Linked DNA regions of Mytilus edulis. The protein of the gene in region 2 binds, or shares a complex with, the protein of the main gene of each other region. Links are inferred from orthologs where the notes say so. Each region holds a gene or a part of one and is shown on either strand. Other genes may lie near its edges. The genes, in order: transmembrane protein 186-like; evolutionarily conserved signaling intermediate in Toll pathway, mitochondrial-like.

What was found.
Region 1: evolutionarily conserved signaling intermediate in Toll pathway, mitochondrial-like (region 2) and transmembrane protein 186-like share a complex: the UniProt entries of both Homo sapiens proteins name them as parts of the mitochondrial complex. The link is inferred for Mytilus edulis from reciprocal best matches to the Homo sapiens genes ECSIT and TMEM186.

What each region holds. Positions count from the first base shown.
Region 1 is NC_092352.1:9,638,378-9,654,772, reverse strand, and holds transmembrane protein 186-like, read left to right. Parts: upstream 1-8,906; 5' UTR 8,907-8,985; coding exon 8,986-9,017; exon of another isoform or gene 9,018-9,077; intron 9,078-9,119; exon of another isoform or gene 9,120-9,210; intron 9,211-10,317; coding exon 10,318-11,008; 3' UTR 11,009-11,079; downstream 11,080-16,395. UniProt on the Homo sapiens protein: As part of the MCIA complex, required for efficient assembly of the mitochondrial complex I.
Region 2 is NC_092352.1:11,359,528-11,375,992, forward strand, and holds the start of evolutionarily conserved signaling intermediate in Toll pathway, mitochondrial-like, read right to left. Parts: upstream 6,467-16,465; 5' UTR 6,387-6,466; intron 1-6,386. Other genes in the region: eukaryotic translation initiation factor 4E-like, read right to left, coding at 16,279-16,338.

The DNA.
Region 1 (16,395 bases), about 1.7 Mb from region 2:
GTATAAATTGGTTAAAATTTAATTATCAATTTATACATGAATATATCTATAGGTTGATTTTCTGTGATTCAGATGTCTACTCCAGTTTACTCAGATTGTAGTCTCATAGGCTCCAATGTACAGCTACATGAATAGACAGCGTAAGAGTGTTTAAAATTGCTAAGGCAGACTTTTGGGGGGAGGAAAGAACTGAAGGCTTGCCCTTTTCGAGGAGCTCCATGTATGGTAAATGCGTAGTCCTTTTTTTATATAGTTTTACCCAAAATGTTGACTTGCTAGACCCCTCCCCCTTTAAAACTCCTGGATTCTCATCCAATTTGATAGAAATCTAAACTGTTTTAAAACAAAGTTGTTTATGTAATAACAATTATGTTTGGGAATTAAAAATAGAAAGGTTCCTTTAAATGTTGCTGAACATTTTGTTTGAATAATCTAGAATATACATGTACATGTGGTTTTAATCGTGGACATTTTAAATCCATGTTAACTTATGCGTGACTTGGGCTTCTGGTACAAATTAAAACATGGAATTATTCATGCAAACTCACAGAAAGATTCTTGAGATTTAAATTTCCACAGAATAATAAATAAACAAAAACATTAAACAATTTAAACATTTAACATACTAAAATTTATGATAAAAGAGATGATTTTTCATTTCCTATCGTTAACTATCCATTTTTAGATGGTGACGTTCCCTTGTCACCATCTTACGGTGTTTATATACACTGTATCTCAACTTGTACGATTCTCTCATGTATGTAACAATGTTTTAGATTTTAACGAGAGAAATTTATGTATTACTGAAAAATTATTACACCAGGGTTTTCCATATCACAAACTAGTCACAACATTTACTAAATCTTATCAGCGGTATAAGGACATTATTCGTAAATATAGCTCAACATACAGACTTCTTATACGTTCAGGTATTTCACATCCAATTTTTTATGGAAATATTCTTTATAAAGCACAAAGGTGTCAGTATTCACCTCAGAAACTAACAAAACCTTTGAATAGACTTATTAAGAGGGATTTAGTAACGATACTGTTGTCAGGTCATTAAAGATTGCATATTTTGGCGTTAATATTAATTCACGTATAGGGTCTTTGCATCGGAACTAAACACATTCATTTAAAAAACAGTTGTTGGCATGACACTGGTTATGTTCTTCTCATATATGTTATGATGGTATGATACTAAACCCCTAATGGGAAGGATTGTGCTTGATATTCATATGATGAAATCATAATCTTACAGTCAGTTTTATTGAAGTCTGGAGCTGGCATGTCAGTTAACTGCTAGTAGTCTGTTGTTATTTATGTATTATTGTCATTTTGTTTATTTTCTAGACTATGGTTACATGTACATCTTCTGACATCAGACTCAGACTTCTCTTGAACTGAATTTTAATGTGCGTATTGTTATGAGTTTACTTTTCTACATTGGCTAGAGGTATAGGGGGAGGGTTGAGATCTCACAAACATGTTTAACCCTGCCGCATTTTAGCGCCTGTCCCAAGTCAGGAGCCTCTGGCCTTTGTTAGTCTTGTATTATTTTAATTTTGGTTTCTTGTGTACAATTTGAAAATTAGTATGGCGTTCATTATCACTGAACTAGTATATATTTGTTTGGGGCCAGCTGAAGGACGCCTCCGGATGCGGGAATTTCTCGCTACATTGAAGACTTGTTGGTGACCTTCTGCTGTTGTTTTTTTTTCTTTGGTCAGGTTGTTGTCTCTGTGACACATTCCCCATTTTCATTCTCAATTTTAACATTTTGATAAAATAAAATAATACACTAACCCTTTGCAATGTTGCAGTTCAACTTTTAATCTAGGGTTCTGGAAAACATTTAAAATATCTCTTGCAGTCATATGCAGGGTATAGGGCTCATAGGTTTGACTCAATAAACATGATAAAGATTTGCTAAGTTTACTGACATGTAGAATCCCAATATCCCTCTTAGTATAAATAGCCACATGTGTGCTCAAATAACCATTTAGATTAGTCTCAAAATTGATATATCTAACTCAATTGAGTAGATCTAGCTAAAATTTTACTCATAAATGTAAGTGATCATATTTGCTCAATTTAAGATCTCATGGGTGCTCGTAGTGAAATTTAACTGATTGTATTTGCTCAAGTACTCATGTATGCGTGAACAAATGTCTAATTCAAATACCTAAAATTTTACATGGATATGGTTACACAACTTAATAATTTTGGCAATACATGTACATGTGACATGTTAGTCCAAATAATTATGACGTCTTAAAAGGCTATTATATTTTTTTTCTTTGACGCCTTACTTCCGACGTCGAAGTAAGGCGTAAAAGAAAAAAATTTAATAGCCTTTCAAGACGTCATAATTATTTGGACTCGAAGTAAGGCGTCAAAGAAAAAAAATATAATAGCCTTTCAAGACGTTTATTTGGACTAGTGACATGTATGGTCAAAATTATACAATACTACAAGGAAGACTTAAAAAACAGAACAGTTAATCTATATTTATATATACCTCTAAAACTGTAAGGATTCTCCAAATATATCTAGTGGCTAGTAAATTCAGACATTTTACTTTCACTTTCAGTGTAAAATAAGACTCTTGCTTTTATGAGCAAGAGTCATAATTGACACTCAAAAATAGTCCATCTCTATTGGAAGAATAAGAAGTCGAAGATTCTCTGAATATTACATAAAATACAATTATTTCAACCAATAATTATATATAAGAATTACTTACAAATTCATTAACAAAATCCGCTTTTTTACTAGTCAAGGGACATAATTATTCAAATATACTAATGCAAGTAACTAAGTCGGAGAAGGAGCGAAAATCCGAAACAGCACCTTAATTAAAAAAACAGAAAATAGTTCCACGTGCACGTGCGTGTCCAAGTGATCAATCTACTTGTTATTTACGAAGAAAAGAAATTTAACTTCAAAAATTGTTGAGATCTTTGAAAAAAAAACTGATTCCATTAAAGAATACAATGAAAGTAACCTTATCTTTAAAGGCCTTGCAGGTTCTTGTTACTCCTACCCAATCTGCTGGTATTTTCAAAATGGCTGCGGGGGACGCGGCCTGACAAATTATTTTAATATTGTGTCAGATTAAATATTCCTGATTTTGCTTCGTTAATATTATAGACAAATATGCTACAAACGGTTTAAAGATGTTACTCTAAATCAAATAATTGAAATATAATTACCTTTCTGTGTGTAATTGCGTGAATTGATTTTCTCTCGTTTATCTTCTCGCTCTTGCTCACTTGATGAATATGCATAGGTGGTATTCATCCGCGACAATAATATTTCGGTATATCATTGATATTGAAGATCGTTTGATTGATATACGAATATTTCTAACGACAAAACATTTTCATGTTATTAATTTGCATTTAAAAAAATCTGAGTATCCATTGAAAACATGAATATAAAAGAAGAGACAAGGAATTTTATTCTGCACTATAATGTTCGCGGGTTCATAATGTCGGTTATTATCCCAACACTAATTATATACGCATCTCTTTGATCTTTGAAGATCTTTGAAAAGTAGGCGATGGCAATACACCCGAGGCCCCTCAGGGGCCTCTGATGTAAAAATGGTCAAAGACATTTAGACACTATGTATATAAATTACTGTCAATTATTAAAACATTACAAAATCCATGTACCAGGTGTCATTCCAGTTAGTGTGAGAAACTGAAGACTATCTTTGGTAAATACGGTTAAATGTTTATTAAAGTTTTCAGTATTTCTCCTTTATCAGCATATAAGCAATTCTTCCAACATACCAAGTTATCTTCTTAATTACACCTTATGTAAGAATCCTGGGTTTTGACGGGTTGATAGCCATTGTATTTTTCACCAATTTACTGTAATGATCTTTAATCAAATGAATATCGTTCATTTTTTAACGCCGCCGGGGTATGACATTACGGCTCGTGAAATTTTACATTCTCTCGACTGGTTAATTAACATGATACATCTGTTCAATATTATAGCAATACTATTAACGTTAAATTAAGTTCAGTTTTTCATTCTAATTTTTAGATATTATTAGGACCATGTTTCGTGATGACTGGTAATAGTACATTTATTGAGTTAATTAAACAAAGTACATGACTATATGAGTGGATGTTGCCCTTGAGAACCCTGATGATATATGACCATTTATATCCATGACACTTACATGTTCCTAGATTTTTATAAAGGACATTGACTTAAATATTAAAAAAAGCAATTTATAAATCTAGTATCTCAACCTAAATAAATTAATATTTTAAGTAGGTGTGTAACCTTACCAAATATGTAAGGTTACAGATATGTACAGCAAGAATGAAATGTCTGTGAAAGTGGGCAATGTAATGACACCATCTTTCAGTTCACTAGTTGGGGTAAGACAAGGGGATGTTCGATCTGCCTCCAAAATTTGAGCCAAGTCCAGATGCTGTTGATATCAATGGGCGTAGAATTGATTGTCTTATGTACGCTGATGACATTATTGTATTATCAAACACAAAAAAAGGTCTTCAAAACCGACTTGATATATTGCATACTTATTGTATTGACTGGTGTCTAGATGTAAACTTGTCCAAAACAAAAGTTTTAATTTTTTTAAAACAAGCCTGGAAAATTTGTAAAGGAATCATTTTATTTAGATAAAGAGGCTATAGAATGTGTTAATAAATGTAAATATTAAGGGATATTCTTTACTTCTAGTGGTCTTTTTCAACAGGGGAAAGAAGAGCTATTCAAAAAATCCTTAAAGGCAAAATTTAAATCACAAAAATCCATGTCAGCTTGTAATCCAAGTATTGATACTGCAATTCATTTATATGATCACACAATAAAACCAATTTTATTATATTGTAGTATAATTTGGGGTTCATTTAAAATTAACTCTGCTGCTTGCAAGAAAAAAGTGATTATCTATTTGAATTAATCTACATAAATGATTATTTGGAAAAATCACATTTCAGATATTTAAAGTATATTCTTGGTGTAAATAAGAAAGCCTCAAATTTAGCAGTGTTATCAGAGGTTGCAAGATTTCCTCTTTATTTTTCTGTCATTATATCCATGGTAAAATATGTACACAGGCTTAACAAGTTGGACAAAGGGTTACTTTATGATGCTTATGTTTGTAATAAAATTTTAGATGCAGAAAACATTAATTGTTGGTATTCATCTATGAAATATGTACTTCAATCACTTGATATACAAAATTTAGATACAAAGCTCAATAAATTAATTAAATTTGTAAAATGTAAACTTTGTAATAGTTTTAAAACATTTTGGTTGGTCAAAAGATCTGAAACCTTATCACAAGGTAATAGTAAATTAGAGAATTATTTCAACCTCAAGACTGACTTTGTAAAGGAGGCTTTTTTATCAATTAAAGATTTTAGTATAAGAAGAGCTATATGTAAAATGAGAATAAGTGCTCATGATCTGAAAATTGAGAAAGATAGATATAGTAAAAAATACATAGAGATAACTCAACGTCTATTTCATCACTGCTTATCACATGGATCAAATTCTATTGAAGATGAGACCCATTTTACAGTAAATTGTCCATTATATGATGAACAGAGGAAATTATTATTTGATAAAGTTATCACTTTTTGTACTAATTTTAAAGAACTACCTAATGATAAGAAATATTTCTGGCTGTTCACAAATGAGCATTTACCAACTCTCATGTGCCTAGGAAATTACATTATTAAAGGTTTAGAAATAAGATCCAGATGTAAACAAAATATATGAAATAATTTAGTATTTTATTGTTATAAGATTTAATATAATAGTTATATAAAACACATGTTGTGTTAGGCTCTGATCCTGTCCATAACGTTACAGTATGTATTAGTTTTCTGTTTTGCTTTTTCCAATCATATTGTGTTGTAAAATGATGCTCTTTACGGGTTCTTGATTAGATTAATAAAATTCTTATCTTAAACAAAAACAAAAAAAAATTCTTATCTTATTGACCGCAAAATAAAAAAAATCTTTCAAATGATAAAAAAAAAAAAGATATTAAAGATGCATTCTGTCTTGGTGTAAAACATTGTAAAGTCTAGCCTAAAACCACATAAGAGCAGCCACCAGACAATATATGTTACACCAGACGCGCGCTTCGTCTATACACAAGAATCATCAGTGGCGCTATAATTGAAACAATTGGTTGGCCAAATCAACTATGAAGTTTAAAAGCAACAAAAAGCGAAAACCGTTCGAATAATTAGATATCTTATTAACAGTTAGTTTACAGAAAATGAACACATCAATGATATTCCACAAAGACACAAAAGTACTGACTACGGGGCTGGTTATCTCCAAAAGCATGCCATCGACCATAACTTGGACGGTTGTTTTTTTTCTGTTTTTGTTTTCGCCCGAGTTAACTCTTAAAGTCTTACTATATCATATTTTAGCATGGTTTTATATTTCAATAGTACATTTAGTAGGAAAACTGTAAACAGAAATTCCTGTTTAATTTGATATATTCGATGTGTTGCAACTTTTAAAAAGATATGTTTATTTCAATCGGAAAGTACTTGCGGTCACTGAACTCAAACTTAAACCCCTTTCAAGACATAATTAAAACTAAAACAAGACATTTGTTCCCCAGTCTAAAATATAAATCATCCCCATTTACAGACCTTAATTTGTTGTTCTTAATGTGACACTATAAATTATCAAAATGGTTCAGGTTCTATCTAAGCAACAAATAAAAAGCAGTATACATGTCTGTTCCTTCTGATCCTGTGAACTGTCGCATCACTGGCGGATGATGCAACATAACTATTTTTTTTCAATTTCGAATTTATCTTTTTAATTTGTCTTCATAAACGTCATCGTTCAGGTGGATCAATGTCATAGATTTATAAACAATTTGCGTATCGACTGTAAAAAGCATGTTTATTTGTTCACTGCAAATCTCTCAGTATGTATTGAGAGTCACGCCATGGTCATTGAGTAGCAGTAGCAATGACCGTTTACGGTGAGTTCTTGTTCCATAAATGTTGCCATGTTTCATTTAATAACAATGATCAACAATATCCGCGCGAATTTTTTTTTTTGTCATATGACAATCGAAAAATGTTAACCAAATTTAGAATAAGCAATCTTGTCTTTTAATAGAAACTGGCCGCGATATGCAAAAAAATAATAATACCAACAAACGAAAGAAAATGTAAAATAATATGTAATGTATTAAATGACGTATTCCATATTTTTATACTTGTAAACTGATTTAATAAAAATAAAAGAGAAATCTTTCTTAAATATTATACCGAAAAATATGTTAATTTTAACTTAACCAGAGACATATAATGCATTACAAAACTTAACTGATAAACTCGTGATTATGTAGGATTATATAGTGTCCCCCATAAAATTATGTCCCATGAACAAAATTTCACAGACATGATCTATGAAATTTGGTCCAGGACATAATTTTATTATAAAATATTGTCCACCTCTATGTAAAAGTGTCCCTTGGCAAGAGATTCTATTGTGACCTTCGTTGGACATTTTTTCATAGTAAAATCATGTCCATATTGCATAAAAGTCCTGTCTTATACCAAAAAATTTATTTAACAAAAAATAATAAGACTAAATTGACATTTGTATTTAAATAAGCAATAGGAATCTATGAATTGTTTTAACATCTTTGAATTATCCTTTTTAACAAAATCAAAAATGTCAGGAATAATATTCATAAATGCTTGATTGCAATTATGATTGAATATCAAGTTTTAATGTTTGCTCTTGTGTTTTTGTTTTTTGTCAACATTGATATAATACATTTCATTGTTTTTAATGTGAAACTGCTTTGCCTTCCTTTTAAATGATCTATCATTATTTTCAAATTCTGGAGGGTATTGACCATCACACACATAATTATACAGCTGTTTATATTTATCACTTTCCATTTTTGTTCACATCTGTGTTGTCTTTATTTAAATTTCAACTATTATTTTAAAACTAATTGATTAAAACATTTCAATGATTTCTAAATTATTTCCCTTCAATAGGGACAGAAAAAAATAGCTACACTATGAAATATTGTCCTTTGTGACATATTTTTATATAACATCCATGAAATTATGTGCAAGTACTAGGGACAATTTTTCACTAAGGGAGACACTATTTTATGGTTTACAAATGTGATATTTTGTCCCTTGAACAAAATTTCACGGCTGAACTGTGAAATAATGTTCTAGAGGACACAATTTCATGGGACACTTTTTTGGCTTACAATTATACTAAATCCATCAAAACCAAATGATATAAACACAGTTTTTTTTTAAAGCGTCATCATGAGAACTGAGCATGGAGACCAATAACTGGTTTTAACATGCATATTATATTTGTTGAGTTTTTCTTATGTTTGTTTTGTCTATGTATATGCTATAACTTATTTACTAAAATTGTTTTTTGTTTGTTTAGCAAATAATGTATATATATAATTATTAATAAATTTATCAATCGTTCATTTTGTGTGTAATCAGTATTGTTTGCTTTTATAAATTTTGATTTTGTTTCTATTGTGTATGTTTGATATGTTTGTATATCTATGAGGTGCCGTTTTACTATTTATTACTTAGTTTCTGATATCAAAAAATGATTTTCTGATTTAATATGTTTATTGTGTTAATACATGTTGGTCACACACTAAAATGTATACGACAATAAAATATTTGGTTTGATTTGCCGGTATTGTATTACCCAATTATTTAATTCCCATTGTTTTCTTTATACTTTTGCACCCAATTATTCTCTGTGACTACTTTATTCAATAATGTTTCCTTATTTTTTATTTTATGGCCAATATTCTCAATTCTGTAGGAACCAATCGAACGAATGTGAAGTAATATTATCTTGTATTGAATGAACGAAGGGAATTAACTCTTACCTGTTTCAAATAAATTTTCTTTTAAATCGTAGATTGTCTCCCATCAATTACCAAAGATGAACGTGTGGAGTTCTGGCACCTTTGCTAGGTATGATATATGTTATTTATCGTGAAAACTTTTCATTAAGTATCGAAAATCTAATAACATATCTAAACAAACTAGGCCTAATCACTAACACATTGTTCCTACCTCAATGAGCCGTGTGTAGAAATTCACAAAGATAAACCCTATTAGCCTATGCTACAGATATAAACACCGTGCTTGCATCGGAATATGACCGACAATTTCCCGTGTATTATATTTCCACAAATAAATTGTCCGTTTTCCAACCAAAAGAGTAACGTGTAAATAATATAACTTAACAACAAAACAATTATAATCATATTGAGATTGAGATGAGACCAAGTTTTTGTAGAAGGGGAAGGGTGGGGGTAGGGGAGGGGACAGAATTGAATAAAAATGAAAATAAATATTTGCAACACAAAATAGAGGAAACCTTTGTGTACAAAAGTTCACATAAAAAAATAACATGCATATCAACTGTTACAACATGAAAATTGTAACCGGAGGGGTTTTAACGTTGCGTATTTTCTGTGTCAACTTTAACATATTTTACCCCAGACCGTGTATTTACAATAGGAGGTCAATTAACATGTTAACAACACCTCGATTTTAGCAACAACAGTTAACAACATATTAAAAAATGCTGATATTAACAGTTAACACATAGGGTTGAAATTAAAACAGTCATCAGTTTAAATTTATCTCAGATAAAAGTTAACAACACCTTGAAAAAGGCCATGACAGGTTAACATAAAAAGGTATAAAAAGGTATTGCCCCTTTCATACCGGGTATATGTAACATTTTAAGAAGCAAGATCAGAGTTGCCTTTAATATATTGATTCTTATTCCTGCATATATACAAAACCCTACATTTATACAAAATGCAAGGAAGACCTATAATTTCCAAGAGAAAACGAAACAGAACTGAGAATGGAAACAGGGAATGTGTTAAAGAGAAAACCAACAGACCAAAGAGCAGAAGACAGATCAAGGCTATCTATTGGTCTTTAACACAGGCAAGAAAAACCTGCACCTGGAGTAGTGGTTCACCTGGCTCCTAAAAAATAAGGTGTAACAGATCAAGGCTATCTATTGGTCTTTAACACAGCCAAGAAAACCTGCACCTGGAGAAGTGCTTCAGCTGGCTCCTAAACAATAAGGTGTACTAGTTCAGCTAAAATGGACATCACACTAAAAAAACTTTGAATTATATAAATGAACCAAAAATTTAAAAAAGTTACCAAGTGGTTTATACATTATTTTACAGCTTATTTCGATCATTTAATTCAATATCATTTAAAACAATTATATTTTTTTTTACAGGAGTGCGGTCCTCACGAAACAATGGAGAAATGCTGTGATCAAAAGATGTATGAGTTCACCTTGTTTAAAAAGAAACAGTGGAAAAGTTTTGTTTACAAACAAATTAAACAGATTGACTTACTTCCCTAGTCGCTGTTATCCATCTTCAGAATACCCAGAGACATTTGATCCTTTCAAGAAAAAAAAGCCAGAGTTTGATCCAAATATTGCAAAGAGGAAATATAAAACCATTTATTTCTTTAAACCAATTAAAGTGGCAAAAATTTTGTCAATGTTAAAGATATACCAGACTGGATTTACATTTGCCTTGGTTCCATACTCATTATTTATGTTTCATTCTCAACTAGCTGATTTTAATGTTATTGCTGCATGTGTTGGACTTTCAATATCTGCCACAGTTTCTTTGTATTATATCAGTATGTATATACAAAACATCACAGGTATTATTGGTGTAAATGAGGATATGACAAAAGTAATGATTTCACATTTGAATTTCTGGGGCAAACGTGAGGATCAAATTTTCAAACGAGAGGAGATTGTTCCTTTCTCAGACAGTGGAGAAGATGTGAAAAGTGACATTTATAAATTAATAACATTTTTTTCAAATGATCAGAAGTTTTATCTTTTTGTGAATAGAGGCAAAGTTGTAGATAGAGAAAAGTTTGAAGAAATTTTTGGAAACTTGATATAAATAAATGTATCACTTTTATGTTCAATATTTTAGTGACAAATAATTCAGAATAAAAGATGACATAATTTTAAGTTTATATTTAGATATAGAGGTAGAAAGGTGAAGATGTATCAATGATCTGTGATTATATCATGTACATGATTTAAGGACTTGTTGATATCGGAAGAAAGATAAATGTCTTTTAAAATATTTAAGAGAATGTCTTATAAGCATGTATTTTTCAGCATTCTGATTAAAGATTATTATTCAATGATAAAAAAAAAGAGAAGGACTTAAACCTAATTTTATTCTTTTTATGAATTAAAAAAATCTTTAGAACAATTAGCTTTTATAAGTAATCTGACAAAAAAAATGAGTTATTAAATATGACTGATGATAAGGCCATGTAGGTCATTGCCATCATTTTGCGTCTGTTGTTTATTTCTGTCGTCTCCATACTTTTCAAAGAACTTTTTCTCTGAAACTACAGAACCACTTTTAACAAAACTTGGGATGAGTGATCTGTCGCGATCCTTAGGGTATGTATCTTGTATAAAATTTGTGTTTTATTCTGGTCAATAAACAAGCATGTACACCAGACTTAAAAAAGAACAAGAGTTAAAATGTATTCATGGTCTTTTATCTTGAAAACTGTCACAACTAAAAGGTAGAGAAAATATGAAAAATCAAAATTGTTCAGAATGCCAAGATCTTCCTCCTCACAATTTTCACCAAAATTATTTGTGTGGGAGTTATTTCCCTTAAATGACAGTTTTTAGTTAATTTTCATGTTTTAGCCTATTATTTTAAAACTTTATAAAAAAAAAAGAAAATGTGGTGTGAATGCCAATGTGACAACTCTCCACAAAGAGACCAAATAACACAGAAACTAATAACTATAGGTCATTGTACAGCCTTCAACAATGAGCAAATCCAATATTGCATAGTCAGCTATAAGAGGCCCCAAAATGAATATTTGTTGGACTTGGGTAAAAACTGATAAGGTCAAAAATTATAAGCAATACAAAAAGTGCCAAATAATAGAAACCATTGGATGACTTCTTAACATATTTTGGACTATTTTTTGTGTCCGTCATGACTTTTTCAAAGAACTTCTCTGCTGAACATGCTGGCTGAAAGAACTGAACTGAACCAATTCCAACAAAATTAGGGGGGGGGGGGGGGGATGATCCTTAGATATATAATTTGTGGTATCTGCCTGTCTGTCAACAAACATCTATTTTTAACAATCAATTAAACATAGAACATTAGGATAAAATCCATTTTCTTGAATCTTCAAACCATAAGAGAACAAGCAAATATAAAAGGACAAAATTTATCAGAGATCAACCTACATCATGTACTTACTGTTTCTACCAAAAATATCATCTGACAACTTAATTAGATGAGTAGAAACTATAACATGTAAAGGCAAAAGTGATCATCAAAACAAGATCTTCAAAAGTGTCAATATTATTTATATGATTAGATCACTCATCAGCAAGGAGTTATTGCCTTTAAATAACGATTGTTGACAGATTTAAGTGTTTTTGCCTAATATCTTTAAAATTATAATGGATAAATGGAAACTGTAAGCAACAAAAAAAGGTATTGTGATTATTTTTTTCACATATAACAGTAAAAATTTGGTTCAATTTGTAGTAATTATTTCTGCATTGGAACAAGTTTCAGTTATAAAAATATTGCATCCATTGAAACCTGAGACATCTGTGCAAAATTACACATATCTTTCAATTTGAAAATGTACAGCAAAAAAGAAGCAGCCAATCGAACATTACCATCAAGGAAAGGAAAGTTAACCAGAAGAGAAAAAAAGTAGAACAGTTTGTCATAAAATTTGTAATGATCATTGCCATGTGAAATGCCAACATCATGGTCTAAAAAGGACAGTGGTCACTCAGTATTGAATTAAGTAAGAGCATGGAAATGAAATGAAAATGCATTTCCATAGAAAGAGTGAGTTGAGGTGGACAACCTAAACATCAATGAAACATTTGCCACTGGACATAAAGTAAACAACCTGTCAATTAATCTAGCAATCACATTTAAAATATCTGGAATGACTACAGAGAAAATGTCTTCTAGATATCTTCATGTTTTATATATCTAGCAATGCGTGCATTATTAGTCTTTTGGGTAAAGATTGCATGGAAATGAAAGGCACTGACTTGATATCTAAATCTAAAAAGTTGATCATTCACTGACTTTGAGATAGAAAAAAATATAGTGCATTGATTATAACAATCTATACATCCAATCCAAGAACATTTCCAGATATTCAAGTCACAAACTGATGTTATACTCGTCAAGAAAATATTGCAAGGCACACGAATCTAATAGCTGTACATGTTCTTAAATATCAAGGATGTGAATTTTAACCAGATTTTCGAAGTAAAATTAATTTGTTGATTTGGGGATGTACGGCAGGCAGTGGCTGCCAAACAGTGTCCTTTCATTTCATTTCATAAAAACCCTAAGAAGATTTTTGTCATGCCCCCTCTATGAAAGTAGAGGGACATTATGTTTTCTGGTCTGTGTGTCTGTGTGTTTGTCCGTCCGTCTGTCCCGCTTCAGGTTAAAGTTTTTGGTCCAGGTAGTTTTTGATGAAGTTGAAGTCCAATCAATTTGAAACTTAGTACATTTGTTCCCTTTGATATGATTTTTCAATTTTATTGCCAAATTAGATTTTTGACTCCACTGAACATAGAAAATGATAGTGCGAGTTTCAGGTTAAAGTTTTTGGTCAAGGTAGTTTTTGATGAAAGTCCAATCCACTTAAAACTTAGTACACATGTTCCCTATGATATAATCTTTCAAATTTGAATATCAAATTAGATTTTTTTACCCCAATTTCACGGTCCACTAAACATAGACATTGATAGTGCGAGACTGGAGCATCCGTCTACTATGGACAAATTCTTGTTTAAATTTAAATATGTTGTTTCTTGTGACAAAATAAAGGTCAAGTTCAATTTTAGCTTTTCTCATTGATAAGTTATAGCCCTTTCCCAAGAATTAAACTTTTGATAAATTAATCAATATCTGTACAAAAGGAAATTACTCAATTTTTAAAAGATTTTTTAGACAAATAGTATTAGTTAATGATAAAGGACATTTTGGATTTTTGTTTTCTTTTCTTTGGTAAATTGTTTGAAGACTTTTGTGGTAGGTTTGTTTGTTATTCTGTATAAAATAGTTTATATGAATGCTTTATATAGAACTATAATAATATATTTAGATAGGATATATTTCATTACATTACATTGTGTAGATCTTTATTAGTTTGTGACAAATGAAAGAAAAAGAATTTGGCACTTTTAATTATATATGACTATAAATTGAAAAAAGATATACACTGACTGTGTTACATCATATCTTATAATCTTATTTTAGAGAAGTTTTTCCAGTCTTCAGTTAGAATACTGTGTTAAACCACAATTATGTTCAAAGGGAAATAACTCAAACTTATTCCATGAACCAGTAATGACATGATCAAAATTTCTATTTTTTAAAGTCAAGTCAGTGTGTTATGAAGGTAAATGAAACAATTGTTATTTGGTATTTTATTTTTGTTGTGTGTGATCTTTATTGGTGTTCTCCATTAATATTCAATACACGAAAATAAATCGTATCCGTAATGGTATTCCGTATTCGGTTAAAAATTAGTATATTTTCATTCTGGTACCCGAACTGGTTTCAGCAAACCATAAACAAAACATCTACACGTGCAAAGATTGCTGATATTACCCTGTGACTGTGTAAAGGTACTTATAATTATAGTATAACTAATCGCCGTATTTGAATATCAAAAATAAGACAACGCGTGACCGAACGACGCATGGATTAAACGAGTGCGCAGCACGAGTTTAATCCATAGCGGCGTTCGGTCACAAGTTGTCTTATTTTTGATATTCAAATACGGCGATTAGTTATTCTTTTTATTACATTGGCAAATGGCTTTTTTTTATGAAATTAATGTAGAAAATGTAAGGAACTATATCTTTTTCCTACGCATTGACAATTTGTTTTGATCCGACGTTATCGACGTCTTGACAACGCCTATTGTTGTATGACGTCAGAGAGTGAAATAACCACGTTTATTTCACATGTGAAATTATCGGTTTTTATCTAACTGGGAAATCAATGTAATTCATTGCAACCAATGTAATAAATATTGTTACTATACCTGATTAGTATTTTATGTAAGCATAAGGAAAAGTGGTATATTGCCATTGATGCAACTGTCTATCAAGAATTAAAGGTAAAGGATTTCACCATAGTGGCTTTAATTTATGACGGTCCACAGATTATCATTTTACCACTTTTACCCATGTGAAAATTATAGAAGCACTTGTTTCCGTCCATGGAAAGGTCCAGAGGCGGATTTAGGGGGGGCAGGGGGCCCGGGCCCTCTTTTTTCAGAAATATTTTGGTTGGTTATATAGGGAATCAATGAAGCGTGACGGAATCGGGCCCCCTCTTATAAAAATGAATCCGGGTCTGTTCGCGCCCAATCACGTTCGCACCCTTCCACATTCGCCCCCATTCACTTTCGCACCCCACATGTTCGCACCCAAATTTTGCGAAAAGTTCGTTCGTACCCAATTTTACCAATTTTTTGGAGGTGTATTGGTATAAATATATATGCCATTGTTTCTAAATAATTCGAGATACTGACAAGTTTTTTTTGTGTCATGACAAGTTTATAAAAAAAAGTCCTTGTTTTTAAGTCAGATTATGTTATTCTGACAACAACTATTTCATTTGTGTGTTGAATAATTCTTAATCGTGTTTTGGTTAGTGTATTGAAATAATTTGTTTTTCACTGTTTCTAGTCAATTAAGTGCGAATCTGCCAACATGTTGAACAACTGGTATGCATGGTAAGTGTATTGCTATAATTAATATTTATTTTATTAGTATTTACATCAAAGCAATTTAAAACAACAATCATGATTTATAAACAACAGTAAACAATAACACCAAGTTAGGCTGTTTATAAATACCAATTAGCAATAATCATACATAATCAACATTTAATAATTAATCATCAGATTGATAAAAAAAAAAAATCTATTCAATAAATTCTCAAATTTTATTCAAAAAGAATACAATTATTTGTTATATTCATATGAATAATTTCTAACAATTTAACTTAAATTTTATTAAAAATTGGGCGCGAACATGTAGGGTGCGAACGGACGTGGGGGGCGAAAATGTGAGGTGCGAACGTGTAGGGTGCGAAACTATATTGGGCGCGAACGGACCTGATACCTATAAAAATTTCTAGATCCGCAACTGAGGTCGACTATTTCTATCCATGTGTAATCTAATAGTCAACCTTATATATTCTTTGGTTATCTTAATCTTACAAAATTGCTCTTGCGA
Region 2 (16,465 bases):
TAATTATTGGCAATATTAATTACGTGGAAAACAAAAGGGCCTGGAGTGGTGTAATTTTTAATCTACACCTTTGTACTATATTAGTTATATATAAAGTTGAATTCTGTGATTCGTCGTTTTTACGTGATGACGGCTGACAAATTGGACCTCGTAATTTTAGTATTATAGATACTGACTTGGTTCTGGATTGACCAGGTCTTGGTTCTATATTTACATGTTTGGTTTTGGATAAACATGTTATATATATATATATGGATACATCTGTTGTAGGGTTGTCACTGACTCAGACGTACTTATGAATATAATTATTTTCTGTGACTGTATCTTACATTAATTTGTAGGATCCTTTACTATAGATAATTTAGCTGATCTGTAACAATCACATCTTCATGCCTTATATATCATGTACTGTAGTACGCCGCTAGATTAAAACTGACGTGGAAAGGTAACACATGGCCAGCGAAAGCTCTTTTTTTGAGAGCCCAGGTGGTCGTGTGGTCTAGCGGGACGGCTGCAGTGCAGGCGATTTGGTGTCACGATATCACAGTAGCATGGGTTCGAATCCCGGCGAGGGAAGAACCAAAAATTTGCGAAAGCAAATTTACAGATCTAACATTGTTGGGTTGATGTTTAGACGAGTTGTATATATATATATATATATATATATGATTCCATATACAGACTTGATTCATATATACACGTAATATACTAGTATATATAGACATAGGTTTATCGTGATTCAGTCTTTTTCGAAGGGAAAGAAGATTTTGAAAATTCAGAGGGGGGAAATAAAGTGTAAGTTTAACAATGAATTACATTGATTTACGTTACAATAACATTAGGGTCTGGATGGGGCATTCATGAAGAAATATGGCAAATAAATATAACACGTATAATGAATAGAGAAAATGAACTGAAAATAAAATAATTATGTTATACGTTACTGATTAAAGAAACGAGTTATGTACAGAATAAAGAATTCCTCCAATTACAGAAAATTTGAATTGTAAAATTATTTTAATGGGAATTTTACAAAATAAGCGTTATTCTTACAGATAAAGAAAAATGCCCTAAACATTTAAAGAATACAGAAATTTAAGAACCCTATCCATACCATTTTACTTGGCTTCGTCCTTATTTTAATTAAGGGGACGGGCATTTGGTATTCTTGGTTTTTGTGGAATCAGGGGCGTAGCTAGGCAATTTTGATGTGTACGCAATGCCGTAGAAGGAAGTCATACGGCGGTGGGTCTTGGGCTGCTCAAGGCCCCCAGAAGCTCTGGGGGTAAATTGGGCAAAATCCTGCATTCTCACAACTTCCGAGGACTTAAAATGACCTCACAGAAATCTTACTTTTAGGAGAAACAAGTCAACTTTGGAAATAAATAATCAGAGAAAAATAAAGAAACCCGTACTGTTGGCTTAACAATTTGTTTTTTTCCTTATGTGTAGTGTTTTAAAATGGCTTGATAAGGTATATTTTATTTGTTACCTAATCATGCTGAACCCACTTTACATTAGAAAAACTAATTTCTAAGCCAACACTGTGCAACTTAAATGGTATTTTTTTTTTATTGAGAAAATACATAAATAAAAATTCGAATCACATATATCTTTATGTTTTATTTTATGAGTGAACAAGCAGTGTTTTTCAGCTTTTTTATTTCTCTCAAAGTTGATTCTGAAAAATCAATGCCCATTTCCTTTCTTTTTTTCTACTAAAGATGTCCAAAACCGTGTCTGCTTTGATTTTTTTTTCGGTATATGTTCAAAAGACCGAGTCCATATAAACGATTCGTTTTCATTGTATTTTTCAAGTAGGTCTCCACTCTTCTCATCGAGACCGGCATACGACGGACGGATCAACAGAGAGACGGACGGACAGACGGATGCACAGACAAGAAAGCACAATGCCCATCTATTATCGTGGGTAGGGCATAACAAAATCAAATCAATTTTATTTCTTCAACAATATTAAATAAAATTCTAAAAATTTGCTAGTAAGTAAAGGTTAAAAATGGTAGTAAAGGGTGGGGTTTGGATGGTGGATCAGTAATTTTTTTTTATTCAAATTAGGATTACGGAAAACAAAAACTTTAAAACTGAAAGCATGGAAAATACGCACTTTTATTTAAATTTGGGAACATGTAACTTGTTGAACGAAAAAGGCACCCGTCTTTCACAAAAATTAAAAAAAGTGAAAACACGTTGAACGTCAAATGAAAAAAAAAACGATGAGTACAGTTGCACGAAAACTTTACCCTTTACCACCCCCGTTAAACTTAAGTTGGACTAGACTGTTTTTAAACTTATACATACCTCACAGGAAATTCATAAGAATGAATTGATGTCCATGGTCTCTTAAGAATGTCATATTTTATTTCATCAGTTATTTTGGAATCTTCAGAAAAGATGCCAGGGTAAGGAGGCATAGAAGACGTAACAATTGTGTTTTGACACCCGGAGGACTCAGTCATTTTAAATTGTTTGCATCAGCAACATAATTACGATGTTGGTTTCGTAAATGAAAAGGGAAGACTAGTTTTCGGAACGGAATATAGCTACAAACATCATTAACATATTTGTATATTTTTTTTCATTAACTTCATTACTTTAGTTTTATTCTAACTGTATTTACCATATTTTTATTTTTGCTGAATGTTTGATGTGTACGCAACTGCGTTTTTGCGTACGGGTTGCTACGCGCCTGCATATACATTGCATACATTTATAGTATAAAAAGTCAAGTATGATAATAATGTTTAATACAACTTGATAAAATGTGATGAAAAAAAAAATAAACATGATAACATGATCAGTTTTTAATATTTTTGATACAGGTAGGTTGATTTCAATAAATGATCTGTTATTTTGTATTTGAAAGAATTAACATTTGTAATATTTCTTAACGGTATTGGCAAATTATTCCACAAGAATGGTCCAGAATACATAAAAGATTTTTTTGAACAATTCTGTTTTTGGTTTAGGGAGTATGAGGTTTCCTTGAACAGCATTTCTCAAGGGGTATGGATTTCTGTCTGAAACATAATGAAACTTGTTAGTAAGATATGATGGGGCATCATTTTTAATGCACTTAAATGTCATCACTAACTTATGATATTTTATTCTCTGTTCAACTGTCATCCAGTTTAAATGTTTGAATAAGGGTGCAGAAGGAGCGAATGGGTCTAGATTTAGAAATTTTTTAATCTTTAATAGTAGATATAGTCTAGATGATATTTTTGAGCAGATCACATCAATTTGGTTTGTCCATGTGAGGGAAGGGTCAATTTTAATGCCTAAAAGACTTTCACATGTGGAAGATTGTATAACTTGATTGTTAATAGTTAAACAACTCTCATTGTAATGTGGCATTGCTCTTTGCTTCTTTCCAATAATCATATATTTTGTTTTATTTTTATTGATGAACATATTGTTATCATTGCACCATTCCTCTACACCATGTAAATCTTCTTGTACCTTTGACTGTAGAGTTTGATAACAATTACCAGAAAGATGTAAAGTTGAATCATCGGCATATAAATCAGTGCAACAATTTTGCATATAAATAGGAAGGTCGTTTATGTATAATATAAACAGAAGGGGCCTAATATGGAGCCTTGGGGGACACCATACTTGATATAAAGTTTTTCAGAATGAGCATTACCAATTTGTACTTGTTGAGTTCTTTCATTCAAATATGATTTAAAAAAAGAAACAGCAGTATTATCAAATCCATAAATTTCAAGTTTTTTACAGAGCATATCATGATCTACTACATCAAAAGCTTTCTTAAAATCCAACAGGACTGCTAAGTTGATATCACCATCATTCATATCCTGTATCCATTTATCTATGATATTGATAAGGGCAGTTTGGCAAGAGTGTTCTTGTCGAAACCCAGACTGTGCTGGGTGTAAAAGATCTAATCTTTTTAGGTAGTCATACAAATGTTTTGAAACATGCTTTTCTAAAAGTTTTGATAAAACAGGAAGTACAGAAATTGGTCTATAATTTGTTGCCATGAATTTTTCACCAGCTTTAAAAACTGGGGTTACTCTTGCATTCTTTAGAACACTGGGTAATGTACTTGTATCTATTATTCTGTTAAAAATGTAAGTTAAAGATGACGTTATGAAAGGAGCACTCAATTTTAAAAATTTTGGTTCTATGTTATCAAATCCGGTGGATTTATTAATGTCAAGTTTGATCATCTCATTAAATAGACCATTTATTGTGACTGGTGCAATTGAAAATTTTACTTGTTCTGACTTATTAAATTTCTTTTGTACAAATTGATTTAATTTTGCATAATCATGAGTTTTGCTCATACATCTGTCAGTCCTCAGGTTTTCAACACAAGATGTAAAAAACTTATTAAAACATTACAAATGTCACTGACATTATTAGTTTTAACACCATCTTCATTTAAAAGTTCATATGGCTTTTCTTGTTGGGATGGGTTAAGACTTTGAATACATTTCCACAAATCTTTAGAAGCTTTTGAATCTTTTACCATCTTTGAACAAAATTTTCTTTTTGATTCATCGATTATGTGTTTTGTCCTGTTTCGCCAAAATTTGAACTCGGACCACATTCCTAATTTATGGTATTTCTCTCTAATTTTTCCATTATTGAACCATTCAGGTTGTCTGTCTAGGTTTCTGACACAGAATGAATGTAGTCTAAGAACTTAAAACATTTAATTTTAAATTGGACTTTTACCTATTGTGGTCCTTTATCAAAAATCTTAATACGTGGTTTGAGGCACTTGTCGCAGAAAAAAAAATCCTATATATGTAGACTTAGGGGTCGCCCATTTGACATTCTGGGGGGGGGGGGGGGGGCAGGAGGATTTGTTTTTGATCGGTTATTTATTTTTGTAATCTAAGAGGACAAATTATTCATTTTCTGCACTATTGAAGCAAGATTTTTCATTTCCATTAAAGCAAGGGACTCATGATTATTCATTTTCACAACTGTATTTATGATATTCGAAAACATACAATTTTTAAATGATTTGTTTATTATAAACAACATATTTGTGTTTCCTTTAAATTTTTATTTTGACATTTTTTTTGCATGCTGTGTTGATGTGCACGCAACTGCGTGTTGGCGTATAGGGAGCTACGCGCCTGGGAATTGGCTATTTATTTACCACTGTTGGTAGGTATATGCATTTTTTTAAACGGATTTCTTCCCCTAACTCTCCCCCGAAAATAAAATAGTCGTCCACTAAACAGAATTTAATAAAAAGTCGCTTTCGTTTTGACGTTTTTGTTATGTAGACATTACGTAGATAATCATATTATTTTTTTCTCATTTAAAGATTTTAATCATTTACATGCCTACATAAATAAACTACGTCAAACTTATCTTTCTCTTTAAATTCCAACCTCTGTTTTACTCATATGCCAAAAAAATTCTGGTCGATAAAAGTAATTTTCACATGGGAGAAAATGCTTGTGTAATTGTAATCATATTTTGATATTTTAGAAATACCCATCATAAATGTAGTATTGTAGATCGTTGTACCTGATATCTATGAAAAAACACATATTACATTCTAATATTGAATAACTTATGAATATTTTAATATGTATGAAACTGGAACTAGTAAATAAATGTATTAATTAGTCCCAGATAAAAAATAAATACACATATATTTTTTACTTTACTGGCACAGTGAAGCGTTCATCAACACTAAGCTTTCAATAATTTCTTTTTCTTACAATTTTATCTTCAAAATTGAGGTCAACAAGCGTTTGTAATTAATTACGATAGAACTGGAATCAAATTCATGAGGGTCTGGATTGAAGGGGAGGGGCTTTTTTTATGTCTTTATTCTTTGATTTTGAGTTCATTTTTTTCTAATATTTATTATTTATTTTGCATGCCCATTATTCTTTATTCTTTGTAAGTGTGCACCATACACTTGTTTATTAATTTTATTATCATTTTTGCCAATATTCTATATTTTTCATTCATTTTACCCTTTATTCTGCACTTTTTTTTACCATTATTCCCTTTTCTGTAAACCCCATCCAGACTCCTATTCACGCCAAACAGAACCTGAGAACAGAACATAAATTTATGTGCCTTTAACAGAGAAAAATATTTAAATGTTGCCATTTTATTCGTACATTTTATTATTATCAGTTCAACAGTTTAATGATGTCCAATGATAATTGTATACAAATGGTGTTGATTTCAGCTACTTAAAATTTGATAATAAATCCGGTATCGTGACAGTTCACATCATCTTTTGGGTAGATATATATGTCTATTTGTAGGCTATAACGCAGGTGTAAAATATGGTTCTACTTTCACTTCCGGCTCTTAATTGACATAGGTTCTGATTTCACACACGCTGATGGGTACTGTTGAAAATATTTCACCGACTGCTAGCCGGAAAAGGCTCAGTTTTTGTAAATGTGACACAAAGTCCGGAGAGGAACGTGTTAATCCGGAAATTGGTATATAGAGAAGATAAATTTGAATAGAGGACCCAGTAATTATAGGCATAGTCAGACAGTACGTGTGTTTTAGGGTTGCACTAAAGGAAGATTCTTCAAAAATGGTCTGGGTAGATTTATGATACAAGATCCACATCAAAGACCTACCAGATGGAGTATAATCAGATAAATTTGGAAAATTTGTAAAATTCAGCGTAAAAAAACAATGTCAGAAATGGACATTTATCAATTCAATTATATACTGTCAGTCTAGATCACCCTCAGATTTTGGTTGGCTTCATGTTACCAAGACTAGTTCTCTGTGTTGTTATTTGTATACTTTTATATTTAGTAATTTTAATTTTTGCCCTTTGGCTTGACATTTTTATACCGGCAGAGAAAATTCTAAAAAAAACTTGAAAAAATACAAGAGAGTGCATTGAGATTTGTATATGACGACTACTGATCATCCTCTGAAACTCTTCTTGAGACACAAAGGTTCCAACCCTACAAGTAAAACGCATCAGGACAATGGCACTTGAGACTTATAAAAGTTTTAAATAATTTGGCTCACAAAATTTACTCCAAATTAAACACACTAAATATTCTTTTAGATACAGTAATATTTTGGAAATACCACTGGTAAGAACTACTTCATATGGAAAAAAATCTTTTAGTTTTGCTGCTGCTTCTTTATGGAATAGCATACCAGACCATTTCAGGACTGTTAACAGCTTCTCACATTTTTAAAGTCTTGTTCAGACAGTCCTGGAGTGGAACAGAATGTTTTTGCTCTGCCTGTAGATAATTTGTGTTGCTATTTTTATGCTTAACCCTTTTTATGCTGCATTAAGTAATAACAGCTAGCATTGTAACTGAAATTTTGTTTTTACATTTTGTTTGAAAGATTTAAATTTTTTACTTTATAAATCAGTCATAAATATCATAAATTATTTAAAAAATAATTTTTAAACTGCAAATTTTTCAAGATTTAGTGCTTCATATATATGTTTTGGTATTTCGCAAGATACATGTATATGCTATTGCTTAGAGTTAATTTTTGGTGCTGCTTTTTATTATTTATTTTGTATGCTGCATGCCTTGTTTTATTTGTTATTGCATATGTTTTTATATTCCGGGTGAAAAGCTCAATAGAGCTTATGTTTGTACTGTTTGTCAATATGCCGAATCCAAATAAAGTTTTACTTACTTACTTACTTGTATAGTATGCTTTTGTCTTTATTACCGTTTTTTTAGTAGATTAAGTGGGAGGGGCAGATGGGTTCTTAAAATAAACATTGTGGCCTGGTAAGAGCTGGAAAGAAATAACCTCGCTTAAGACAGGAAGAAAAATTAATATTCAATAACATAACATACAGGAAACAATTGGGTACAAAAAATAAAAAGATTTTAGCGCACTTAGCATCTTAAAAGAAATAAGCCTGCGTGGCAACAGGTAACAATGAATAGTAAATCGCAAAAAAATGCTTCAATCGCCCCCTTCCACCAATAAAATAAATCAGAAATAAATCAAAAACAAATCAAAAATAAATCAAAAAGTCGTTTCATAAGTACACCACCTTGTGAAGGAAACACCCTCTTAGACCGTTTTATATAAACCTCTCGTCTCCTAACTAAACACCTAGTGAATGCAACTCCTCTACGACAATTTTACAGAAAGCCATCGTCTCCTAACTACAACACCTTTTGAAGGCAACTCCTCTAAGACCGTTGTATAGAAACCTCTCGTCTCCTAAATTTAACACCTATAATGAATACAACTCATCTACGACAATTTTACAGAAAAACTACAACACCTTTTGAAGGAAACTCCTCTGAGACCGTTTTATAGAATTCTCTCGTTTCTTAATTACAACATAAGTGAAGACCACCGCCCCTACGACCATTTAACAATTCCCCTGGTCTCCTTGTGATGGCAACTCCTCTAAGACCATTTTATAGAAACCTCTTGTCTCCTAACTTCAACACCTAGTGAAGACAACTCCTCAACGGCCATTTTACAGAAACCCCTCGTCTCCTAACTACAACACCTTTTGAAGGCAACTCCTATAATACCATTTCACAGAAATCTCTCGCCTTCTAACTACAACACCTTGTGAAGGCAACTTCTCTGAGACCGTTATACAGAAACTTATCGGTTTCGTAACTACAACACCTTTTAAAGGCCACTACTCTAAGACCATTTTACAGAAATCTCTCATATTTTGTTACCCGACTATTCTAAACCAGTTGTTATATTTCCCCCACTACTTTGACCTCTCTTAATGTGAATATTAGGCAAAGAATCATTGTAGGTACATATCTAGTCGGATTTGTTTCCGAGTCATTGTAAATAAACCAATTTTACAGGCGTTGAGGGACATTGAGTATTTCATGGAGAATTGTGAGAATGCAGCTCTTCTGGGACGATGCATCTGACAGGAAGCCATCATACTTGGTAATGCATGTTATTTGTAGTTGACCATATAATACTGTCATTTTGATCCAACCATTTATATAATTATATCAGAGTTATGGGATTTTTTACCTTTTTTAGTGTTGACTTTTTGTCCTGTGACTTTCTGTTCTACATTCTAATATCGTTATTTCAAACTGAAATCTCTTGAGTATGTCTTTATTTTTCTTAAATATATTAACTATTAAATCATAGGAATCCAGAATAAATAAGGTCCAGAAGAGGTTTTTGTATTTCAAAACTTTGGAGAACTCATTACATTATGACAGTTGTGTAAAGATTAACAAGATTTCTACGCCAGAAAAGAGGAATTGTCCAGGTGCATTATTGTTGATCGATAGTCAAATAAAAATCAAAGTGATGGATATCACTCATGGAAAGATTGGAAGAGTAGTTTGGATAATTTCATATTAAGGTATGGAGGGGACTGAAAGAACATAAATAAAGCACTATTGCTGAAAATTCTTCTAGTAAATGTTACAACTACTCTTATAAGACATAAGCTAAGAACTTTAAAGTGTCAACAAAAATAATCTAAAAATGTTGTTTTGGGGCATTTTGTAAGTTAAAACATAGGTTATATGACATTGAAGATTAAAAGTTGTGCCTTTTGATCAATTCATATTTTTCAGAACGGGGCATTGAAAATGTACTTTTTCAACGTAAACAAATTAAAAAAACTTATTCTAGCGGATTTTTTCTTGATTGCAAAAAGATGTATTCACTTTCTTATAAAAATTCAAATGACTAAAATAAACATAATGATTGATGGGGAATAAACTAATAAAAAATGGTTTGTTATAATCAAAAGTTTTAAAATTTTAAAACTGTTTCAAGCCAATTACTGATATAAAAAAAATAAGTGAACTAACCTAAATTATTGATTAATTGCAGATGAATATTGTAAATTTATCAAGTAAATCATACGCCTTACTTGAATACCTTTTATATATTCATATTTATATTTCATTTTTCTTAAAGATCTTATTAATCCTTAATTAATCATTTATCTTTCAGACACACTTTACAGATTCACCTTTATGTAATGTAGATCAAAAGTAAAAGGCAATAAATAAATCTATCATCCTTATATATCAAACATCTAGTATATACATTAGTGTATTCAATTTTGAGGTCAAATATTTATTGATATTTGTTTATTGGGATGTATATTGAAGCATAGATGTAATAGGGTCGGTATAACTATGTAAGACTTAGGTTGATAAGTAATGTGGTCAATTTGATTGACAGTTTAGGAGGTGGGGCATTGTAATTAAAGGTCCACCTTGTCCCTGAATGGTTGATGATAATGAGTTGTCAATCATCTAGTATTGTATCAATACTCAATATGTTTAAAAATAAAGCCTTTTCATCAAGACACCTTAATGACATACCTTCTTGTATGAACTGCTCCAAAAATATACCCATTTGTTAACAGTTTATATGTATATTATGTGAACATACATGAGAACTATAGGGAACTATATTTCAGTGTGAATACATTTAGTAATAGTAGCTAACCAGTTGTGTTGTTAGAGAGGCCAGTGCCTAAGGAAAGATTTAGAACAAGTTCCAATCTTTCCAACAATGGTACAATTTTGTCCACTACACATGGCAGACAATTCTTTAAAGAGTGAGAGTTCTAGCTCTGTCGAATGATTTCAGAGGAGTTGTGTTCACAAGCTGACACTATTAAAAATACAGTGATTACTTTCAAACTGCAAAGTATGTCAGCTATCCTCACACTAAGTCCTGACTTCTTGCATAAAATTGATTTCTTCAAACCCTTTTCTACTCACAACTGTAGAAATTTTGCTAAAACAAGTGCATCTGAAGACATCAGACAGAAGCAACAATTTCTAACTAAACTATAATTTGTCTTGGTTTTTGGTTACCTGCCAATAGCGCTTACAATGCTTTGATTTCAGTTTATTTTTTGCAGTTCTGACCTTGACCTTTGGCCTCAAATTAAATATGATTATACCCATCTGTATGTCTCCCATCTGAACATGTTTTATTATCAAATTAAATTTGAACACACTCATATAACCAACACCACATTGTCACTGAGAAAACAATAACTGTCCTTTCAAAGTTCAAGGATTCAAAACTCCTACTATAACTACCAGTATTATTATTTTTTTTGTGTGAATATGAAAATTAACATTTTATGACCTTATTAAGTAAAAAAAGTTTCATAAGATTCTGTTATGTTATGTTGTTTTAGAGATATGTGCTAACAAACTATTGAATTTGTATATCATAGTCAAAATTCTAATTCAAAGGGGCATAATTCTTTAGAAAAAGCATTGAATCTCAAATGTGTCATTATGCACACCTACATATAGTATGTACTAATTATCAATAAAGTTTCATACAATTCTGTTATGTGGTTCGAGAGGAGTTGGAATGACAAACTGTTGCAGTTGTATATTTGCCAAAATTCTAAGTTCAAAGGTGGGCATAACCGATAAAACTGATAAAAACAATAGTTGAAATCATAATTTCCTGTCAGTATGGAGATATCTACAAAGTTTCACGAAAGGAGAAGGTTCAATAAGGCACTTAAAGATGAAAATGGACCCCTTTTTCACCTTAAATTTAAATTGTGATTTATTGACCAATATCACAATGAATCATAGGTTATATAGTGACAAGGATAGGAAACAAGCCAAGTACCTGAGTTCAATTCACAAATAGTACTCATGAAAATGTATAACTGTAAAATATAAAGCTTATCTTAATGATTCTTGACTGGGTCATCCATACTTTATCTGATGTACAGAAGTTTTCGTTTGTTTATGTAGTTCATACATATTTCTCGTTTTTATATAGATTAGACCGTTGATTTTCCTGTTTGAATAGTTTTACATTATAATTTTTAGGGCCCTTTATAGCTTGCTGTTCGGTGTGAACCAAGGCTCTGTGTTGAAGTCCGTACCTTGACCTATAATGGTTTACTTTTAAAAGTTGTTACTTGGATGGAGAGTTGTCTCTTACCACGTCTTCCTATATCTATTTATATTATCACCTATGGTCTACCTGGAGACAAAATTTCTCAACCAATAAATTTATTTGTGTTGATGTTTGATATAATTGACTGAGCTTATGGTTTAAGTTATAGTGTGAAGTCTGAGACTGATGGTTCTTGAGTCAATAGATGGGCAACTCTGGAAACTAACAAACTGAAGGGATATGTGGTTTAACCAGAGAGAGGATTTTCAACTGAATAATCCAAATGTTACAAGAGCACTGACAACCAACAAACCCTAATTTTTTTTGTGTTCTTCATATCCATGGAAATCATAAGACAGCTTTGATTAAACTATTAAATATAAAGTAAAATTAAAAGAAGAAACATCAGCAAGTTTTCATTTCAATTTATTACAAATATTTTGGTGTACAAGCTTCTCAGTATCATCATGCTTACACACACAAAATACAATAATTTCCAAAACATACAAACAATGCAATGTTTACAGAACATTTCATCCATATTTATATCAAATGATCAAATGTTCTAGGGTTTATGGAAGGGAAAATTTTTACAAAACAGAGACCAAGCAAATATATTTAATGTCCTGTGAATTTAGTGGTTTTCATGGGTTACAATTTTTGTGGATTGATTAAGTAAAAACTTGTATTTTTGTCAATATTTGACTTTGTAGTTTTGCCAAAGTCTGCTTTAAGTCTATAGAAATTTTGTAATTCATTGAACATTTAAATTAGTGGTTCACCTTTAACTATGAAATCCACAGAAATTGATAAATCATGAATAATAATGAATTAACAGTATTTAAAACACAATAATGTAACGCTGAAACAAACAAGAAGGAAAACAATTCATTTATGTTGTAAATAACATATTTAGTTTAACATACAAATAGTAGTTTAAGTCACAACAAATCCTGTAAAGCACATAGGTTATTTGTGTTGTCTGACCATTCCTTTCTACATAGCACATCAAGGTGAATAGATGGTCAACTGTTCTCCAAGTCTTGTTATGGTCATCAATATTATTGTTGTATATAAACAGGCCAAAATGTAATGTAAACAAAGCACTTCAGTTTTATACATGTATCTGTATGTTTGACAGTTAACAAGTAACAACTCTCAACATAGAATAACAATAGCACTGTCATCACAAACAAGGAAAATATTGTAGAAAAAAACTCTGGAAGAAATACATTCGACTATTCTATTATGTTACCCCAATCCCAGATTGAGATCAGTTCATGTTCCTTTAAACATGTTTGAAATTCATAAAAAGCACTTTAGAAACCTTCAGCAGCCACCAACAGAAATTAAACTATCTACATTTTCTTCTTTTTATGAAATATGTCTAAATAACTTGGCTTTAAAATGCCTAATTTTAGAAAACTTGTGTGTATCAACAAAATAGCCAAACAAACAGACCACTTTAAAAAAAATTATATTACAATATTAACATACTTTTATTTTTTTTCCAGCCACATTCTTTTTTTATTGGGGATTTTAATATTACCCATCATAGAGAACTGAGAATAATACTTTATTTTTCTAAATGTCAATTAATTGCTGTTGAACAATAGGCATAATAACAACTTGGATGTACAAAGCAAAAATAAATCAATAAAAAAACTGATTTTTTTTTCAATTTTTCTAAGATAATTGTTAATTAATTATAAATTATTGGCACCAATCAAATCATCTGTTATTCCTTCAGTACGCTGCACGTTTTAACACTTTTCAAAAGTATCATTCAAAGTAGATTCTAGGTCAATGCTTTTGGGGATATCTTTCTCTCTCTCATCTCAAATTTGTAAACATATTTATATTTGAGGAGAATTAAACTTGCCACTCAATCCAGTAAATTAAGAAACCAAGAAAGAAAATGAAAGAAAACAAAAATAAACATCTGGTTTTCCAGTGAATTGTATAAACACCAATTTAAGTTCTGATTAGTTCAATAAAGCATTTTTAATACAAATACTACAGTATACTACAATGAATGTACAGAATTATTGTTCCATCTGGACTTTTTATCAAATAGAAAGTCCTTGACATAAAAAAACATTCTTTAAATATATTCCGTAAGTAGAACATTTTTATTATGATATCAAAATAAATGTTAAATATTACATTCAAAATATTGTATGCTTCCAGAATTATTTTATAATTGAAACTTCAACCAGGTATAAAATCCTTTAAAACAAGTACTGATTATATCAAGATGATGTTACAAAGTCCCCTTAGATCTCAATAATCTCATGTCAAGGATTTAGTATTTGTTTCAAAAAGACATTGTTGCTAGGTGCTTTTTCAATTAATTTTATTCAGACTTCCAAAAACAGGTTCTCAGAAACTCATAAGCATAATTTTTACTTTTAACAGTCAGTTAAAAAGATTAGGACACTTATGAATCAGGAATATATCAAATTGCCTTCAAACAGCGCCATGTTAATGCTAGATGGACACAAAAGGACATAAAAATTTAACATTTAACCAAAGCAACAAGATAAACAGTCCTATTTCTAAAGGTTGTCACATACAAACTAAAAAGCATCACGACTGATTAAATATGTCAGCATAATATACAAATAAAAATACAATCTTCAAGTTAATGAACAAAATATTTTTTTTACAGTGAAGTGACATGAAAATATGATACAAGTCGAAGATCAATGAACTCATTTGATTTCTCATGCTTGATTTTTTTACATAACACATATATTCATTATCACAAGCAATCAAATTTCTGAGAAATTTACCTCCTAAAATGCTAATAATGAATGCTTTATAAAACTCAGTCAAACTGTGAACTAAAAGATTTTGTCAGATATTTTCAAAAACAGTTGCATTAGGAGTGCATTATATGCCAATATGGCATTTGTGAAAATACAAAAAAACTAAGTTAAAAGTGAATTTATCTAGCTTTGAGGAAAATACAGATTTTTATGAATGATGTTTGAAAACTTAACGAAAGAAAGAAAAAAGGCGGAACATTGAAAAAGGAATTTTACCTTTTCCAATTTTGAGACTATAAAACTTATCTTTATAAATAAATAATTTGTAAAGGTTGTTCTAGTATTAAATGGTTGGAAGGGTTGGAAAGGTCCTATTTATATATAAAAAAAAAAGGTTTCAAAAACATAACATTGATAACTGACTTTACAAACTGGTTAATGATAAAGTAGCAAGCCAAAAAAATAAGATATCAATATTCTTTCTCATTTCTGTCTAATCTAACAAGATAAATATTGACTTACTTAAAATCAAAATAAATCAGTTAAAAAAACAACATTTCAATGAAATTTCAGAAAGGAAGAATCTTTGATAATAAATAATTCCACAAAAAAACACTAACTAAATAACCTATTCTTAATAGAAAAAGTTAATATTAAATGAAGAAATTAATAAATGCAGTTTCGAATGGCACTTATTTAGAAAGAGAATGTACCACTTCACTGTATCCTTAAATAACAACTTACAAGCATTATGTAACTTCTTCCAATGATAAATTTTATACATGACTATACTTCATGTATCTTACACAATCATCTCTTTATAGACAAATATATACATTAACTACAGTAGCAAACACGATTCTAAATGGAAACATGAAAAAAAAAAAGAAAGAAAAAAACACAAACAAAAAGTATATCTTGATAGGAAATAGAAGTTAAAAGTAAGAAAGTTCAAATAAAGATTGCCTATAATCTATGGCTTCTTTAAAATTGATAATCCAAATTCAGCTTTTCTTTTAAAATTCTTTTTTTTCCCCCTCTCTGAAATATTACATCTGTATTAAAATAGAATTGTGTTCTCATAGGACGTGAAAGAAGGCTATTGAAAATATAGAAAATAAAAAACAAGAAAGGTATGAACATTTTAAAATGGATGCCCTACACACTGAATTCCCTACTTAAACACTTAATTATAATCTACTCAATATTCTTTATATTGTTTCAAGTTGGAATAACAAAATAAAACTGTGATTCCAATCTCCCATAATTTGATTCCCACACTGATCATATTTTTTGTTTTTGTGAGATGCACTGAACTTCAGAAGATGGAATTCTATTTAATTCTTATTTATATAGATTGTTTTAAATATTAGGGTTTTTTCAAACCTTCTCTATCATAGCATGCAATGAAAACCACAAATCCATTTCCCCTTGCACTATAATATATCGTTTGTGATTCCCCCAAAAAATTAAGCGCTTTAACAACAAAGACAATGATACTTTTCAACTTCAATAAAAACAATTAAATCAACATATGTTTTACAGTATAATAAATATCATCTATAAAGAGATGTACGGTCATCTTTCACACAAAACAATCACACCTCTTCCACAGCTACTGTTATACTCTGTATCTATCTTTTGCTGTAGATCCTGATTTTGAGATGGTGTCTCTATGTGCCTGAAATATACAGCAACAAACCATATTGAAACTACAGCAATAAAAAGTTTGTAATTGAACTATCGTAATATTAAATGAACACAATCAAAAGATTGTTACAGTTTTACTAAAAAATAAAAATAGAAAT